Saccharomyces cerevisiae S288C: one gene and its partners. The gene in region 2 interacts genetically with the main gene of each other region. Each region holds a gene or a part of one and is shown on either strand. Other genes may lie near its edges.

Region 1 (4,368 bases), on a different chromosome or scaffold from region 2:
TTAGAGAATAATGACATCCTTAATACCGTCAAACATTATAATATGAAATACAAACTAGAGAACTTTTTATCCGAGCTACTACCTATAAATGAAGAATCGAACTTCAATAGATCCGCTTCTATTTCAGCTTTACAAGAATCTGATAACGAATGGAACAGATCAGCACGTGAACGAGAAAGCAACCGCAGTTCCGACGTTATATTTGCTGCAGATTATAACTTCGTGTTTTATCATCTAATTATTTGCCCGATCGAATTTGCTTTTAGCGATTTAGAATATAAAAATGATGTGGACAGATCATTAAGTCCCCTTCTTGATGCAATCTTGGAAATCGAAGAGAACTTTTACAGCAAAATCAAGATGAACAATAGGACTAGATATTCCTTAGAGGAAGCTCTGAACACTGAGTATTACGCGAATTACGATGTTATGACCCCTAAATTACCCGTGTATATGAAGCATTCAAACGCAATGAAAATGGACAGGAATGAATTTTGGGCGAATCTACAGAATATTAAAGAATCAGATGACTACACTCTTCGACCTACCATTATGGATATCTCTTTGAGCAATACGACCTGCCTTTATAAACAATTGACTCAAGAGGACGATGATTACTACCGCAAACAGTTCATTTTACAACTATGTTTCACAACAAATCTTATACGCAATTTAATTTCTTCTGATGAAACGAGGAATTTCTATAAAAGCTGCTATTTGAGGGAAAACCCGTTGAGCGATATTGATTTTGAGAACCTTGATGAAGTTAACAAAAAGCGTGGGCTCAATTTATGTTCATACATTTGCGACAATCGTGTTTTGAAATTTTATAAAATTAAAGACCCTGACTTTTATCGTGTTATCCGCAAATTAATGTCTTCTGACGAAAAGTTTACAACCGCCAAGATCGATGGCTTTAAAGAATTCCAAAACTTCAGAATATCTAAGGAGAAGATACCGCCACCCGCTTTTGACGAAACTTTTAAAAAGTTTACGTTCATCAAGATGGGGAATAAATTGATTAATAATGTTTGGAAAATACCTACTGGTCTAGATAAAATTGAGCAAGAAGTAAAGAAGCCTGAAGGTGTCTATGAAGCAGCCCAAGCGAAATGGGAATCAAAAATTTCTTCTGAAACTTCCGGTGGAGAAGCGAAAGATGAAATAATCAGACAATGGCAAACTTTACGGTTTCTAAGATCGCGATACTTGTTCGATTTTGATAAAGTTAACGAAAAGACTGGTGTTGATGGTTTGTTCGAGGAACCCAGAAAAGTGGAAGCGTTGGATGATAGTTTCAAAGAGAAACTTTTGTACAAAATCAATCAAGAGCACAGGAAAAAACTTCAGGATGCTAGGGAGTACAAGATTGGAAAGGAAAGAAAGAAGAGGGCACTGGAAGAAGAGGCTTCGTTTCCTGAAAGAGAGCAAAAAATTAAGTCGCAACGTATAAACAGCGCTTCTCAAACAGAAGGAGATGAGTTGAAGAGCGAACAGACGCAACCAAAGGGAGAAATATCAGAAGAGAATACCAAAATAAAAAGCTCGGAAGTTTCTTCGCAAGATCCTGACAGTGGTGTTGCCGGGGAGTTTGCTCCACAGAATACAACAGCTCAACTAGAAAATCCAAAAACAGAAGATAACAATGCAGCTACTTCGAACATTTCTAATGGTTCATCTACCCAAGATATGAAATAAATTATCCTCTTAATAGAAATTTTAAACTGATAAGAAATTCATGCATAGTGTCCCAAACAATTCAGATAGATTTTAGCGTACCACAGAGATCCTATCAGAGAGTAATACTTATGATGAAAACAAAAGTCAATCCATTCGGTTTAAAAAAATGACAAACCTATATTTGATTAGATTAATCAGGCGTCAATAACGTCCTTAGAAGTCCCTTTGCTAAGACTGATATCGTTGGCAAAAGCATGCTCCGAGTTTAGTATATACTTCCACTTGATAAAGTTGTAGCGCAAAGGATGCTTTTCTTAATGAGAAATTCGGTATACTACAAGAGGACATCCAATCGTGCTTACAAAATTGCCCTGGAAGACATGATTGAGAAGAAATGGCGAAATATGTCTTTTGGTCAGATAGTCTGTAATCGCATATAACAGTATGCTTGGTTTGCTCTTTATCACCACGCTTTTCCTCTCTTTCCAGCGCGAACCATGCAATGGCCAGCTTTATGAAATTTAAACCATAAAGTCATATGAGACCAGCAATCAGACCATATATAGCCGTACTATGCTATAACGGATAATTTGATAGATACTAAACAGTTTTAGTTCACATTTCTCGTCTAAAAACAATTAATTTATTATAACAGACTCTATAGACTAAATTGTATGTATTTTTTTTTTTGACAAATTGGGGGCGGTAGCCTTCCAAAGTCCAAGTGAACTTATGTTCGTTTTGTCTTCTTTTCTAATGAACACCTTCGATAAAATTCCATAAATGACGGAAAATGGTTCTAGTTACCACCTCTTAGTGTTAATACCAAGTGGAGTTGCATTCCCTCTACTAGATGTGCATCCGTTACTGTTAATTTATCATCACTATCCTGGTCGTTAGTAAGGTCTCAAAAACGTAAATAAACTTAAAAGATAATTAACCACTGAATGAACATACATTTGTTTTCCCTGGAATATAAGTCTTTGTTGAGATGGTGGAATCCCTTCTTTTTCCTCCAAAAGTTCCTTGATGTGATATACGAGATCTGATTCCTTCAGCTCAACAGAGATCTCCTTCCCAGTCAGTGTCTTCACTTTAACAATCATCGGTTACGGCTGTAAGGAAGTTAATTACCTTCCTTTATTTATTCCTCTGTCGGAATACTTCATTTGAATAACAGAATTTTGGTTTTTCAGCTAAAAGTTGTTCGTTTGCCTTCCCGAAGACGCCATCGGAATTTGATTTCATATAAATATTGATATAATTATACTCTGAAATATAATATTGATAAACTTAACACAGGGTGAGAAAGGTGAAGTATGCTACCGACCCCTTATGTAAAATGCGATTACGATAAAGTATATGAGCCTGCTGAGGATAGCTTCCTCATACTGGACTGTTTGGAAAAAGAGCATGATTTTTTGAAACAGAAATTTGGTAATCGTTTGGCCATCGTTTGCGAAATTGGTTCGGGATCAGGTATCGTCACAACATTTCTAATGCAAAACAAAATAATACCGCAGGAAAATTCCATCCACTTAGCTGTTGATATCAACCCATGGGCGCTCGAAGCAACTTTGGATACTGCGAAGTTAAATTCATGTAAAAGTTCTTTTTTAGAAGTGATTCAAGCTGATTTAAACTCCAGTATTCGGAATAATCAGGTTGATGTCCTAATATTTAACCCACCATATGTGCCAGCAGAATGTGTGCCAGATGTCCCAGGATCAAGAGAGGAGGCAGACCAATGGCTAGATTTAGCGTTATTGGGTGGAAAAGACGGGATGGCGATTACTGATAAACTGCTACGACAATTAGAACAAATTCTTTCTCCAGATGGTGTTGCATATATATTATTTTGTGCAAGAAATAAGCCTAAAGAAGTCATTAAGAGGTTTGTCGATACTTACAAATGGAATGTGAAACTTATTGAAACGAGAAAAGCGGGATGGGAAGTCCTCAGTGTGTACAGCTTTACAAGGTGACAGTTGCAAAACCTTTCACGTTATAATTGATAACCTGTGTCTTTACTCAAAGCGTATAACTATATTTCGGTTTATAAAGAAAAATTCATAGCTATGCTCATGACAGAATATCTTTTTTGAGATCTTCACCACAACCATATAAATCAACTGACCCTAGTCCGTAAACTTTCTCATAATGTAGATAACTCAAATTCTGGAAGAAGCTTCTTAGTTGCGTGTGTCTCTCGATTTTGTGAATGCCTCGTAATAATGGGAGACCATCTTTTAAAGTTGTCGGTAATTCAAGATCATCAGTTTTGGTTATTTCGTAATCTTTGAATTCTGCGATTTCATCTACCAGCGCGACGAATGAGTTCGTTTTATATACGCAATTTATTGTATCAATAACAAAGATCCACTCATTCGTAGAGGTGAAGCCTTCCATGTTGAGTAAGAGTAGCAAATCCAAAGTTTTACATACTTGCAATATTGTTTGTGGATCGACTTCTGACTGTATTTGAAGTGATTCATAAAATTCTTGCAAATTAGTTTGTAAACAGTAACTGATCATAGACCAATAGTCATTGAAATGGGACTCTGAAAATCTTAAAAGTAAAACCCTTAGTAAGATCCAGCAGCTTCCCTTGAGCTTGATATCTTTGGACACCAAATAGTGGAAAATGCAACTTATTAAAGAGGAAAAGTGCAACAAATATGCGTCATT
Region 2 (6,428 bases):
AGTAAAATTTCTTTTGAAACATTGCCAATGGTTGGTTGATGGAGATTTCTGACATTTAGCTAGTGTTCGCTGGAGTGATTTTAGCATATTGGCGCACCTTCCTCTGTCCATGAAGGGATTCTATCGCGGTTGTAACGCCGTAAGAGTTTTGAATTGATTTTTTCTTGTCAAAACCGAATAGCATTGTAAACATTTTGAGGGGTCCCTCCTAGAAAAATTGAGTCGAAAGGAAACTCAAAAAAACATCATTAGAGTATATGTGCAGCTTTTGGAACAGCGTATGTATTATGTAATTGTATGTAGAAGTCGGCGAAAGTGTCCTAAGATAGAGAGACGAGTGCATCGATTACTTCCTTCCTAGCCTCCGGAGAAGGAGGATCCACAGCAGCTAGGTAGTGGGCAAATAAGAGCTTTCCAATAAGGGGTTCCTTCACTGTGCCCAATATCACAAATTCATCCTTCTTTCTTGCGTAGTAAGACAAATTCATAGAGCAGTCCTTATTCAGCTCAATGAAAAAATCATCATCTCGAGCCACAAGTCCTTTTACGCTCCTGAAACAGTCATGCAATTCTTGGAATCCAGCTTCCAGCCGGTCTTTGTCTTGAGACTGAGAATCTGGGTTCTTTAGGACGCTCTTTTTGGTGCCGTCCATCAATAACTTGAAGGAACCTGCTTTTATCGGAGTATTCTTGGACATTAGTCTGATTCCGCTGTCTAAGAGGTTATTAATCAGGATAGGGGCCTTAGCAGGATCGTTCAAAGCCGCACGCAAATTATCCTGATGTGAGTTTTCCGGTGATGGGGGTGCCGCAGTGTCGATGAACGCCTGAGACAGGAACTTTGAGTCCAGTACTTCAGAGACCAGATGTTTGTCTTCAGCGGCCACATATATGCCCAGACCATATGCTTTGAAAGTGATCGATGAGACACAACGTACACCCTTACCAATCAGCTCATATTGCGTGGAGAAGGGCCACTGTGGGGGGCCCATCTTCTTAGGGAACGCAGAGATGGATGCGTCCACTGCAACGCTGGTGGCATCCGCCTTTTTGATCTGGGAATCGTCATACCATTTCTTCGCGAATATGGATGCCAGTGCTAACCCTGTTAACACAGGCACTACTTTGCTGCCCTTCTTGTTCACACGAGCATTGCCCGCTGTAGTAGAGTAGTGAGAATACCATTGTGGGGCCCTCCTCATACCTACCTCTAGGCAATTTGTTTTCACCAAAACTTTACTGATTAAACGCATGTTTCCATATACCTGGCCTTCTGCTAAGTAGACATGTATTCAACAAGGGGATGTAACCACACGCTGCTTTAATACCAACAAATCGGCCGCTGATTAGTAATAGGTGCATCATTGCGAATACCGAGAAAGGGTCCATTATACGAACTAATCATTCTATACGGCGTCCTTCCTGTTCAAGCACCTCTCTGATTAGTTCCTTTGATTGAGGCGCTGATGTTGCATCAGGCTGCTGGAGCAGATTTAGTTTCTTTAACGTCTCCTCTTTAATATTTTCGATCAGTTTTTCTGTTGTTTCCACTGAGGTTGTGTTAGTAATTAGTGCGGGTGAAGGTTGGGGGTAGAGTGTTGCGGTGAGGTGACATACGTTCCAGCTGCATTCGATGTAGTATTGCGCTGCGCAACTTCTGCCGTTCTTCGGGAGTGAGAGCCGGTATCATCGTAACCGAGTGCGGCAGCTGCCCTTTTGCTGATGTTGTTGCCACTTCTTGTTTACAATTGTATTCTCTTGAAGTTATATGGCATTATAGCTGCCGGGTTATTTCCGCCAGGCGGGTTTTCGCCACCGGAATTTACAACTAAATACACACTTATATCAGACTTTTAAAGCGTAAAGAAAGAAGGGAAAAGTCAATAAATAACTCAGCAGTAACCGCACAATGGTATTGGAAGCTACAGTGTTAGTGATTGATAATTCAGAGTACTCTCGCAATGGCGACTTTCCTAGGACAAGGTTTGAAGCCCAGATCGACTCGGTAGAGTTCATATTTCAAGCCAAGAGAAACAGCAATCCTGAGAATACAGTGGGTCTTATCTCTGGTGCTGGCGCCAACCCCAGGGTGTTATCTACGTTTACCGCCGAGTTTGGGAAGATTCTTGCTGGACTACACGACACGCAGATCGAGGGTAAGCTGCATATGGCCACTGCGTTGCAGATCGCTCAGCTGACTTTGAAGCATCGCCAGAATAAGGTCCAACATCAAAGGATTGTGGCATTTGTGTGTAGCCCAATAAGTGATTCTCGAGACGAATTGATCAGATTGGCAAAAACACTGAAAAAGAATAATGTTGCCGTGGACATCATCAATTTTGGAGAGATTGAACAGAACACGGAGCTTTTGGATGAGTTCATAGCTGCAGTGAACAACCCTCAAGAAGAAACTAGTCATTTGCTTACTGTGACGCCTGGCCCCAGACTGCTGTACGAGAACATCGCATCTTCACCCATAATTCTCGAAGAAGGATCCTCCGGTATGGGCGCCTTTGGTGGGTCTGGCGGTGATTCCGATGCCAATGGCACATTTATGGACTTCGGGGTAGACCCATCAATGGACCCAGAACTGGCAATGGCCTTGCGTCTGTCTATGGAAGAAGAGCAGCAAAGACAGGAAAGGTTAAGACAGCAGCAACAACAACAAGATCAGCCTGAGCAGTCTGAACAGCCTGAACAACACCAAGACAAATAGTAGTGTACAAAAATATCTATATGGGTCATATATAAACCAAATAAAGCATATATAACATCTCCCTTCACTCTTCCAGGTTTGAGTACGCTTCCTCTAAATAGGGGACGACTTGCTTTCTGGTGGCCTCGACGTTCAGTTGCTTAAACATCGCCACACCTCCATCAAGATTGCCCCCAAATAATTGAAGTTGGAGCTTGTCGCTAACCCTTTCAATGAGTTCACGTACCACGTTAGAGTCTCCCAATATGACCAATTCTCTGTGTGAATCACCAGCTTTCCTCCATGAAGTCAACAGAACCAATACATCGAGCCCCCTCTCCGCCTGAAATCTTCTGCATTGGTTGACGAAATCTGCTTCACCACCGTGTTCATTGAATAGCCAAGACATTCTTTTTACTATTGATGAAAGACCAATCTCTAACCCTTTGTGTCCCTTTCCTTGGAAATTGAATTGTTTGTAGTCCTTCTTTAGAATATCGCTTACCGAAAATCCTTTAATATCGTTCTTTCTTGATTTTATCTCTTTATAAAACTCACTGCTGTCCTCTAAACCTTGCGCAGACACTTCATTAACCGCACCACTAAGAACAGCTTGGCATCTCTCGATAGCTAATTTATCACTTTCCTCGACTTTGCGCCTCATATTTGAAGTGTCTATTAAGATGGCCCCCATCAAAAGTGGTGCAATGTTCATCACCACTTCACGGTCACCTTGCAATTTTTCATACCAGTAGTTAAAAACCAGCGATGAGCAACTGCCGGACACTTTTACAATCCGAGGTTCAGCATCCAAATGTTTTTGCAAGTCAAAATGGTGGTCTATAATGCCAACGACGTTATCTATATAATTTTTCAAATTCTTTGGTGTATCGTTATTATCTACCAAGTAAGAGTTTAATTCAGTACCCTGGGAGACATTTTGCTTCAAGCTCTTTAAATCTTCAATGAAGAATAATTCCTCCTCCTTAATTTTCAGTTTTTCTAGGACATACATTACGTCTCTTCTTAAACTGAGGTCTTCTCTAGGAATGTCGATAATTGGGACAATAAAGCTTCCTTTCTTTTTCTCCTCCGAGTAAGTACCTTCATTATATATGTATTGGCAGTACGAATAAGTGATTGCACTAGCAATTGAGTCCATATCTGCTGACTCGTTACCAACACATATTGTTAACACATCGTTGCTTGCAATTTTTGAAATTGGCAGTGATTTTAAGTGTGCCAAAAATTCAGGAACCGTCTTTCTCAAAGGCGACATCTTTCTTAACAATCGGTGTTTTGAACTTTTTGATTATTTGTTTCAAGTGGCTTTAGTTAATTATGTACACTTCGTTTCTTTTTTCTACTCTTAAAAGTGAAAAAAATGAAAAATCAGCGGCATGTATAGCATACAGATAATAGGAAAAAGGTTGTGAGTTATTCTTCGAGACTATTTCGACTCGTATTCTAAATTAGAATTCAAGTAGGTGGATAATGTGACAAAATGAATGAAGGTTAGAGCTTTACACAGAGTATTATCCTCGGCGTTTTCTATCAAAGCTTCTGGTTATTCCATACTTTTTTCAAGGACAGCAGAAACATATGCCATTTTACACCTCCTGGGAAAATAATTTGTAATTTTCTAGTGACTCAATGCTTGTTGAAAGTGATCTTGTATAATGAGTGTACACATGAGATGTGCAAATTTCTTCATTACTTAGCGAGAAGTGTACACTCTTGAATATAATAACACTAACAGTGGAATCATCGGTAATAATAATACTATTGATCGTAGTGAAAGCAAAACACGACTGTACTTGAGTTATAAATTTTGTTGCTGTAGAAATTTCAGTGATCATTCATTAGCAACTTATTAAGATGACGATTATATTTTACGGTTCTTTTCACAAACCATTATACTTGCTAAAGGTTGTAAAAGTCATACACTTTTTAACATCAAGATTTCAGTACAACAATTTCTTACATGTAAAATCGTTTGCAAATTAAGTTCGCCAAATTGTATCTTAATTAAAATCTATGTGTTCAGAAGTTGAATATTGGTAAAAAGAAACAAAATGTATAAACGAACGAAAAAGGAAGTGATCAAAATAGAGTAAGGAACCAAGGCATTAGGTTCACCCGAACGTTATCATATATACGCTCATATTATTCCAAGAAAGACACATTTGTCTAGATAGGTTTCGGTAAAGGCGTCCGTAGTTAGAGAGTAGATGGCACTAACTTGAAAGCAGGAAAACAAACAATTGTGTTCCAGAGCAAACTCGAACTTTCTATCTGAACCATTGCATGACGTAAAATTATTATTACAACCATAATGAAACATTTCTACAGTATATCTTTAATATTATTTTTTACTTTAGTGTCCTTATCGATCAGTCGCTCTTTCGCCAACTAGCCGCCAATTGCAAAAGCCGATAAGCTTATTTCCCCTCAAGCCGTCAACAAGAACTACAGCAATAACAAAGAGAGTGAATGCAATAAAGGTGTGCGCAACAGTGTAAAATGATACTAAAGCTTGTACACTGTTTAGTTGCTCTTACAGGATTAATCTTTGCAAAGCCGTATCAACAACAACAGGCAGTTTTAGCGCCGTCGCAGGATGTACCATTAAGAGATATCCATATAGGGGATATAAATTTTATCCATACAACCGATACTCATGGCTGGTTGGGGTCCCATCTATCACAAAACGACTATGATGCTGACTGGGGAGATTTCGTTGCATTTGTAGATATACTTAGAGAAAAAATTTTACGACAGTCCAGAGACGTAATAGTCATCGACACTGGCGACAAACGAGACGGTAATGGTTTGAGTGATGCTACTTGGCCCCCCGGCCTACGAAGCTCGGAGATATTCAACATGATGGATTACGATCTTTTAACGTTAGGTAATCATGAGCTATATACAGCTGAAAGTGCCATACTAGAGTATAGAGGAACTTCTCAGTCCTCAAAATTCAAAGACAAATATGTTTGCAGCAACGTAGAATTTATTGAAGATGACGGAACAAGGGTTCCTTTCGGGAATAAATACATTACATTCGAGACTCCCATAATGAAACAAAGAGTCCTGGCATTATCATTTTTGTTTAGTTTTCAAAGAGCAAATAACAGAGCCATCGTAACACCACCATTGGAAGAAATAACTCAAAAAAGCTGGTTCCAAAATATGGTTGAGACAAACAGAGAGGAGGAAATCGACCTAATTATTGTCTTTGGTCATTTGCCTGCCACTGACCCTACAGAGCGTGAAATGCACAAAATTCATGCTCTAATAAGGAAATACTACCCAAATACTGTTATACAATATTTTGGAGGGCACACTCATATCAGGGATTTTGTACAGCTGGACTCAAAATCTACTTGTTTACAAAGTGGTAGATTTGCGGAAACTGTGGGATTCTTGTCAATTAATATGACTGACCCTGTGGACGCCGAAAGTCCTATTTTCTCAAGAAGGTATATTGACTTTAACAAGGAAGCTTTCAAATACCATTTGAGCAAACTAGGGCATGACTCGAATGTTCCAGTCTCAACGAAAAAGGGTAAAACTATTTCTCGTTTGGTGAATGATCTGCGCCATGAACTAAATTTGAACGAGAAACTGGGGTACATTCCTCAAACTTACTACGTTTCAACAAGGCCATTAAACTCCGAAGAGAATCTTTATCATTTGATCACGCATAAGATTTTACCCAATTTAATTCCTC
Region 3 (7,630 bases), on a different chromosome or scaffold from region 2:
ACCCACCTAAACCATTGTTCATATTTTGGTTGTTGCTATTGATACTGTTGATACTGTTGTTAATGTTACTGCTGTTGCTGTTGTTGTATTGACGGTTTTGAGAGTATGGACGGCGGTTGCTGTTGCCGTTATTATTATTTCTTCTGTTGTAGTTACCTCTATTGTTGTTTGAATCCCTATTGTTGTAGTATCTTTTATGCCCAGGGCCGTTACTATTAGAGTTATTGTTGGAGTTAATTTGCTGCTTGACCTTGTCAATTATATTATCTTGCAATTTGATAAACTTGATAAAAGTCCCTCTAATATAAATTTCGTTCAATTTTACGGCTTTACTGCTCTCAGCATTGTCTTCTGAATTAATTGCGCTTTCTTCACTATATTCGGTTACATTAGATAAAGTAAGGTTCATCCAGTTATCTACGTTGGTCAATATCCCTTGTATAATTTCACCGTTTTTCAATTCTATTTGCATTTGTTGTCCCTTCGCATTTGTTAAAAGATATAAAGGTAGCATTGAGAAAAAATATTCTATTGTGTTTCTTTTCAGTTCGAGTTGAAGATTTATCAGTTTTTCAACTCTGTTTTACTAATACTACTTCGTTAATTTACTTTTACGATTTCCTTCTTTACCGCTTCCATCATTAGGAAGGTCTATGATACTACGATTTCACGAAAGAAAGCTGCAATAATTGAACATCATTGCTACTCCGTAAAACATGATAGTAAGAGTGCTTATCACGTGACACGTGTGCGGCAAATTTCGTAATTGATGATCAAAATGCGTGTGGGCGGCTACAATGCGGAATTTGCCTTTTTCATAGTACAGGAAACTGGCGGTAAAGGAAAAGTAGTACTTTAAACTCATTTAAAATTACTTATCACTATGAATATCTTTAAATTATTGTTATACATAATAAACTATCTATTAAAAAAAAGATGCTACCCAATTCACGTTGTCCATGGTTATTTTAGAGCCTAAAAATAAAAGGCAGTAGGTTTAGAGGGACTTCAGTACAAGTAGATAACGAACGAAGCAATTACTCTGTGTACGGTGGCGGAAAAAATGAAATGTTACTTAAGAAGGAGGTAATATAAGTACATTACATTTCAACCGCATTGTGACTGCGTACTTTAAACGATAGGTGACTGCGGATCTTAGGTCGTTTAGCAGCATACGAAAATTAGTTTTACTAAACTAGACATCTAGTAAAAGGCTGTCGAAATCTCTCAATTTAAAGAGAACCTGCTACTGACTATAAATTTTGTCACTACAAATTATTGGTTTAATCTAGCCTTCATTATGGATACAATTACCTTCGGCGGCTAAAAACAACTTGATTTTGTTACCCGCGTTTGAAGTGACGCGTCACTAACCATGACGCGAAAGTTAATTATATTCAGCTCCCCGCCTGCTTATTTCCCGTTTAGGAAATAAATGGTTAACCTAACAAAAAAAAAAGAGGAACAAGGACTAAGAAGCACGTCAACGTGAAAAACGCACAAAAGATATTATAGTTATTGCCATCCTTTAGCATTGGTTTAGCATATCAACTAATTGACTAATATTTGCTGCTAAATTCAACTGGAAGCTTTTTTTTTTTTCGAGATAATAAAAAAAGAAACTCTTTAGTGTATTGTGTTATTTTTACTATTAATTGTTGTTACAGCAGAATCACATCTAGCATTGGTCGTCGCTTTTTCAAACGATTCTTCCTCCACTTACCCTTTGAAAAAAAGGTACATTATTTCACGTTATTTGATATATTGTCAACAATAATTGCTCTTTGCCGAAAATTAACTCTTCTTTCTTTCTCATTTCCCTTCTGTCCCTCTTGCGTAGTTCTAAAAGGTTGATTTATTCGAGAAATCATGCCATTTGATGTTTTGATATCAAACCAAAAAGATAATACCAATCACCAGAACATCACGCCAATATCAAAATCAGTTCTTTTGGCGCCTCATTCAAACCATCCAGTGATTGAAATAGCTACGTATTCAGAAACCGATGTATACGAATGCTATATACGTGGGTTTGAAACTAAAATAGTGATGAGAAGAACTAAAGATGATTGGATTAATATTACCCAGGTTTTCAAAATAGCTCAATTTTCGAAGACGAAAAGAACTAAAATACTGGAAAAGGAATCAAATGATATGCAACATGAAAAAGTTCAAGGTGGGTATGGTAGGTTTCAAGGTACTTGGATCCCACTGGATTCAGCGAAGTTTTTAGTCAATAAGTACGAAATAATTGACCCTGTGGTCAACTCCATCTTAACTTTTCAATTCGATCCAAATAACCCTCCACCAAAGAGAAGCAAAAATAGTATATTGAGGAAGACTTCGCCGGGAACGAAGATAACTTCTCCATCGAGCTACAATAAAACACCAAGAAAAAAGAACAGTAGTTCATCAACATCGGCTACAACTACAGCTGCGAATAAGAAAGGCAAGAAAAATGCATCGATCAACCAGCCGAATCCAAGTCCTTTACAAAACCTTGTTTTCCAAACTCCTCAACAGTTCCAAGTAAATTCATCAATGAATATAATGAACAATAATGATAACCACACCACGATGAATTTCAACAATGACACAAGACACAATTTAATAAATAATATTAGTAACAACAGCAATCAATCTACTATTATTCAACAACAAAAATCCATTCATGAAAACTCTTTCAATAATAATTATTCGGCAACTCAGAAACCTCTTCAATTTTTTCCAATTCCGACAAATTTACAAAACAAGAACGTTGCTCTGAATAACCCTAATAATAATGACAGTAATAGTTACAGCCATAACATCGACAATGTCATTAACAGCAGTAATAACAATAATAATGGCAATAATAATAACTTGATCATAGTTCCAGACGGACCTATGCAAAGCCAACAACAACAACAACATCATCATGAATATTTGACGAATAACTTCAATCATTCCATGATGGACTCCATTACAAATGGCAATAGTAAAAAAAGGAGGAAAAAGCTGAATCAATCTAATGAACAACAATTTTACAACCAGCAAGAAAAAATACAAAGGCATTTCAAATTAATGAAGCAACCCTTATTATGGCAATCCTTTCAAAATCCAAATGATCACCATAATGAGTACTGTGACAGTAACGGCAGCAACAATAACAACAACACTGTAGCATCCAATGGCTCCTCCATTGAAGTATTTTCATCAAATGAAAATGATAACAGTATGAATATGTCTTCACGATCTATGACACCGTTCAGCGCAGGAAATACTTCATCTCAAAACAAGTTGGAAAACAAAATGACAGATCAAGAATACAAGCAGACGATATTAACAATACTATCATCGGAAAGGTCTTCTGATGTAGATCAAGCGTTGTTGGCTACTTTATATCCGGCGCCCAAAAATTTTAACATAAATTTTGAAATTGATGATCAAGGTCACACTCCACTCCATTGGGCTACAGCTATGGCGAATATTCCTTTGATAAAAATGCTAATTACCTTAAATGCTAATGCATTACAGTGTAATAAGCTCGGTTTTAATTGCATCACAAAATCAATTTTCTACAACAATTGCTACAAGGAGAATGCTTTCGATGAAATAATATCCATCTTAAAAATATGTCTTATAACTCCCGACGTAAATGGAAGATTGCCATTTCATTATTTAATTGAATTGAGCGTTAATAAGTCCAAAAATCCAATGATAATAAAATCTTATATGGATTCGATAATATTGAGCTTGGGTCAGCAGGACTACAATTTGTTGAAGATATGTTTGAACTACCAAGATAATATAGGGAACACTCCACTGCATTTATCTGCTTTAAACTTGAACTTCGAGGTTTACAACAGACTGGTATATCTTGGTGCGTCAACAGATATATTGAATCTAGATAACGAATCGCCTGCGTCAATAATGAATAAGTTTAATACTCCGGCTGGCGGGTCAAACAGCAGAAACAACAACACCAAGGCAGATCGAAAGTTAGCTCGAAACCTTCCTCAAAAGAATTATTACCAACAACAGCAACAGCAACAGCAACCACAAAACAATGTCAAAATTCCAAAAATTATAAAAACTCAACATCCTGATAAAGAAGATTCTACTGCAGATGTCAATATAGCTAAAACAGATTCTGAAGTCAACGAAAGTCAATACCTGCATTCCAACCAGCCAAATTCTACAAATATGAACACTATTATGGAAGACTTGTCGAATATTAATTCTTTCGTGACGTCGTCTGTCATTAAAGATATAAAGTCTACGCCGTCCAAAATTCTTGAAAACTCTCCCATTTTATACAGAAGAAGATCACAGTCAATATCAGATGAAAAAGAAAAGGCAAAGGATAATGAGAATCAAGTTGAAAAGAAAAAGGATCCCTTGAATAGTGTGAAAACTGCCATGCCATCATTGGAATCGCCTTCTTCCCTTCTGCCGATACAGATGTCTCCACTAGGAAAGTACTCAAAACCGCTTTCGCAGCAGATCAACAAATTAAATACAAAAGTTTCTTCTCTACAAAGAATAATGGGTGAAGAAATTAAAAATCTGGACAACGAAGTAGTAGAAACCGAATCCTCTATTTCTAACAATAAGAAGAGATTGATTACAATAGCACATCAAATAGAGGATGCTTTCGATTCCGTATCAAACAAAACTCCCATAAATTCGATATCAGATTTACAATCAAGGATTAAAGAAACATCGTCAAAGTTGAATTCTGAAAAGCAAAATTTTATTCAAAGCTTGGAAAAATCTCAAGCTTTAAAACTGGCTACAATTGTCCAGGATGAGGAATCAAAGGTTGATATGAATACTAACTCAAGTTCACATCCAGAAAAACAGGAAGATGAAGAGCCAATTCCAAAGTCAACGTCGGAAACTTCTTCTCCTAAAAACACCAAAGCGGACGCCAAATTTTCTAATACTGTACAAGAATCATATGATGTAAATGAGACGTTGAGACTAGCAACGGAACTAACTATTCTACAGTTTAAAAGAAGGATGACAACATTGAAAATAAGCGAAGCTAAAAGCAAAATTAATTCATCGGTGAAGTTAGATAAATACAGAAACTTGATTGGTATCACAATTGAGAACATTGACTCAAAATTGGACGATATAGAAAAGGATTTGAGGGCAAACGCATAAATTTTAATTCACAATGTACCAATAATTTTTACTATATTATCAGAGTTTTTAAATTTTTTTTTTTTTTTTTTGGTAGCAATTTTTTACATATTTGTATAGTCACTTTTCTCATTGCGCTTGAGTTGCTTCAAGTGCATGTCAACAAACATTTGAACTACTAAACTTAGACTATTATGGTTAGCCCTTTGCTAATTATCAGGATGTCTTTTATTACGATTGTGCTTTGTTTTCGTACAATATGATGAATGGAAAGCGCGATGAGATGAGGTCGAAAAAAAAAAAAAAAAAAAAAAAAATAGAAACATCCACTTATCCATAGATCCTTCATTTTATTTGTTGTCAGGTTTGGTATTGATTTTATTAGTCAACAAAAAAGAATAGGCAAGACCCCGCAAGGATCCTTCTTCTCGTTTCTGTATATTACCAAAATCCTGCCTTAGCAGCATAAAAACTGAGGGACGAAAAACACTTTTTTAGTATCAAGTAGTATAATGGATCAACAATTTCTAAGTCAACTTGAGCAAACTTTGCACGCTATCACTTCTGGTGTAGGCTTGAAGGAGGCTACAAAAACTTTGCAAACTCAATTTTATACCCAGCCTACAACTTTGCCAGCTTTGATTCATATTTTGCAGAACGGCTCCGATGATTCGTTGAAACAACTAGCTGGTGTTGAAGCTAGAAAGTTGGTTTCCAAGCACTGGAACGCCATTGATGAATCCACTAGAGCCTCCATCAAAACATCTCTTTTACAAACAGCATTTAGTGAGCCAAAAGAAAATGTTCGTCATTCCAACGCTCGAGTAATTGCTTCTATTGGTACTGAAGAGCTAGATGGTAACAAATGGCCAGATTTAGTCCCTAACCTAATCCAAACTGCTTCTGGTGAAGACGTTCAAACAAGACAAACTGCCATTTTTATTTTGTTTTCTCTGTTGGAAGATTTCACCTCTTCTCTATCTGGCCACATCGATGACTTTTTGGCTTTGTTCTCTCAGACAATTAATGATCCATCTTCTTTGGAGATCAGATCATTATCTGCCCAGGCTTTGAACCACGTTTCTGCTTTGATTGAAGAACAAGAAACCATCAACCCTGTTCAAGCTCAAAAATTCGCCGCCTCAATTCCATCTGTGGTTAACGTTTTAGACGCAGTTATCAAGGCCGACGACACCATGAACGCTAAATTAATCTTTAACTGTTTAAACGATTTCCTGCTATTGGACTCCCAATTAACAGGAAACTTTATTGTGGATTTGATTAAGCTGTCTTTACAAATTGCTGTTAACAGTGAGATTGACGAAGATGTTCGAGTTTTTGCTCTTCAATTCATCATATCTTCATTGTCCTACAGAAAATCGAAGGTTTCTCAAAGCAAATTGGGCCCAGAAATTACTGTTGCAGCTTTGAAGGTGGCTTGTGAAGAGATCGATGTTGACGATGAATTAAACAACGAAGACGAAACAGGCGAAAATGAGGAAAATACACCCTCTTCTTCTGCTATTAGACTGTTAGCTTTCGCTTCCTCTGAACTGCCACCATCCCAGGTTGCTTCCGTTATTGTTGAACACATTCCAGCTATGTTGCAATCCGCAAACGTTTTTGAGAGAAGAGCTATTCTTTTAGCTATTTCCGTTGCTGTTACTGGTTCTCCAGACTACATTTTGTCTCAATTCGACAAAATTATCCCTGCCACCATAAACGGTTTGAAGGATACTGAACCGATTGTTAAATTAGCTGCTCTGAAGTGTATTCACCAATTAACCACTGACTTACAAGACGAAGTTGCCAAATTTCATGAAGAATACTTGCCATTGATCATCGATATCATTGATTCTGCGAAAAACATTGTCATTTACAACTATGCAACTGTTGCTTTAGATGGTCTGCTTGAGTTCATTGCTTATGATGCTATCGCTAAGTACTTGGATCCATTAATGAACAAACTATTCTATATGTTGGAAAGTAATGAATCATCCAAGTTGAGATGTGCTGTTGTTTCTGCAATTGGTTCCGCTGCTTTTGCAGCAGGTTCCGCGTTCATTCCATATTTCAAGACTAGTGTTCACTATTTGGAAAAATTCATCCAAAACTGTTCTCAAATTGAAGGTATGAGCGAAGATGATATAGAACTAAGGGCCAACACTTTTGAAAATATTTCTACTATGGCCAGAGCCGTCAGATCAGACGCATTTGCCGAATTTGCCGAACCTTTGGTTAACTCCGCCTATGAGGCCATCAAAACTGATTCTGCTAGATTAAGAGAATCTGGTTATGCATTCATTGCAAACTTGGCTAAAGTTTACGGCGAAAATTTTGCTCCTTTCTTGAAAACTATCCTACCAGAAATCTTCAAGACACTAGAATTAGATGAATACCAATTCAACTTCGATGGTGATGCAGAGGATTTAGCCGCATTTGCTGATTCTGCCAATGAAGAAGAACTACAGAACAAATTCACCGTTAACACTGGTATTTC

What was found.
Region 1: mutations in RPN10 (region 2) and RUB1 together harm fitness more than expected from each alone (negative genetic interaction), as found in Saccharomyces cerevisiae (6 studies listed by BioGRID, with this or other methods).
Region 3: mutations in RPN10 (region 2) and SWI4 together harm fitness more than expected from each alone (negative genetic interaction), as found in Saccharomyces cerevisiae (5 studies listed by BioGRID, with this or other methods).

Annotation. Positions count from the first base shown.
Region 1 is NC_001136.10:731,139-735,506, forward strand, and holds RUB1 (NEDD8 family protein RUB1), read right to left. Parts: upstream 2,787-4,368; coding exon 2,638-2,786; intron 2,565-2,637; coding exon 2,480-2,564; downstream 1-2,479. Other genes in the region: HPR1 (Hpr1p), read left to right, coding at 1-1,698; MTQ2 (S-adenosylmethionine-dependent methyltransferase), read left to right, coding at 3,000-3,665; DOP1 (Dop1p), read right to left, coding at 3,763-4,368. UniProt on the Saccharomyces cerevisiae protein: Ubiquitin-like protein modifier that can be covalently attached to lysine residues of target proteins. Activated by the dimeric UBA3-ULA1 E1 enzyme and conjugated by the E2 UBC12 to substrate proteins.
Region 2 is NC_001140.6:497,170-503,597, forward strand, and holds RPN10 (proteasome regulatory particle base subunit RPN10), read left to right. Parts: upstream 1-1,909; coding exon 1,910-2,716; downstream 2,717-6,428. Other genes in the region: AIM18 (Aim18p), read right to left, coding at 1-111; AIM46 (Aim46p), read right to left, coding at 321-1,253; NBL1 (borealin), read right to left, coding at 1,402-1,550, 1,618-1,690; PPX1 (exopolyphosphatase), read right to left, coding at 2,781-3,974; SMN1 (Smn1p), read left to right, coding at 5,219-6,428. UniProt on the Saccharomyces cerevisiae protein: Multiubiquitin binding protein.
Region 3 is NC_001137.3:380,116-387,745, reverse strand, and holds SWI4 (SBF complex DNA-binding subunit SWI4), read left to right. Parts: upstream 1-1,869; coding exon 1,870-5,151; downstream 5,152-7,630. Other genes in the region: U6 snRNA complex subunit LSM4, read right to left, coding at 1-514; karyopherin KAP123, read left to right, coding at 5,643-7,630. UniProt on the Saccharomyces cerevisiae protein: Part of a complex involved in cell-cycle-dependent transcription. SWI4 and SWI6 are required for formation of the cell-cycle box factor-DNA complex. The repeated element in the upstream region of HO (5'-CACGAAAA-3') is called the cell cycle box (CCB).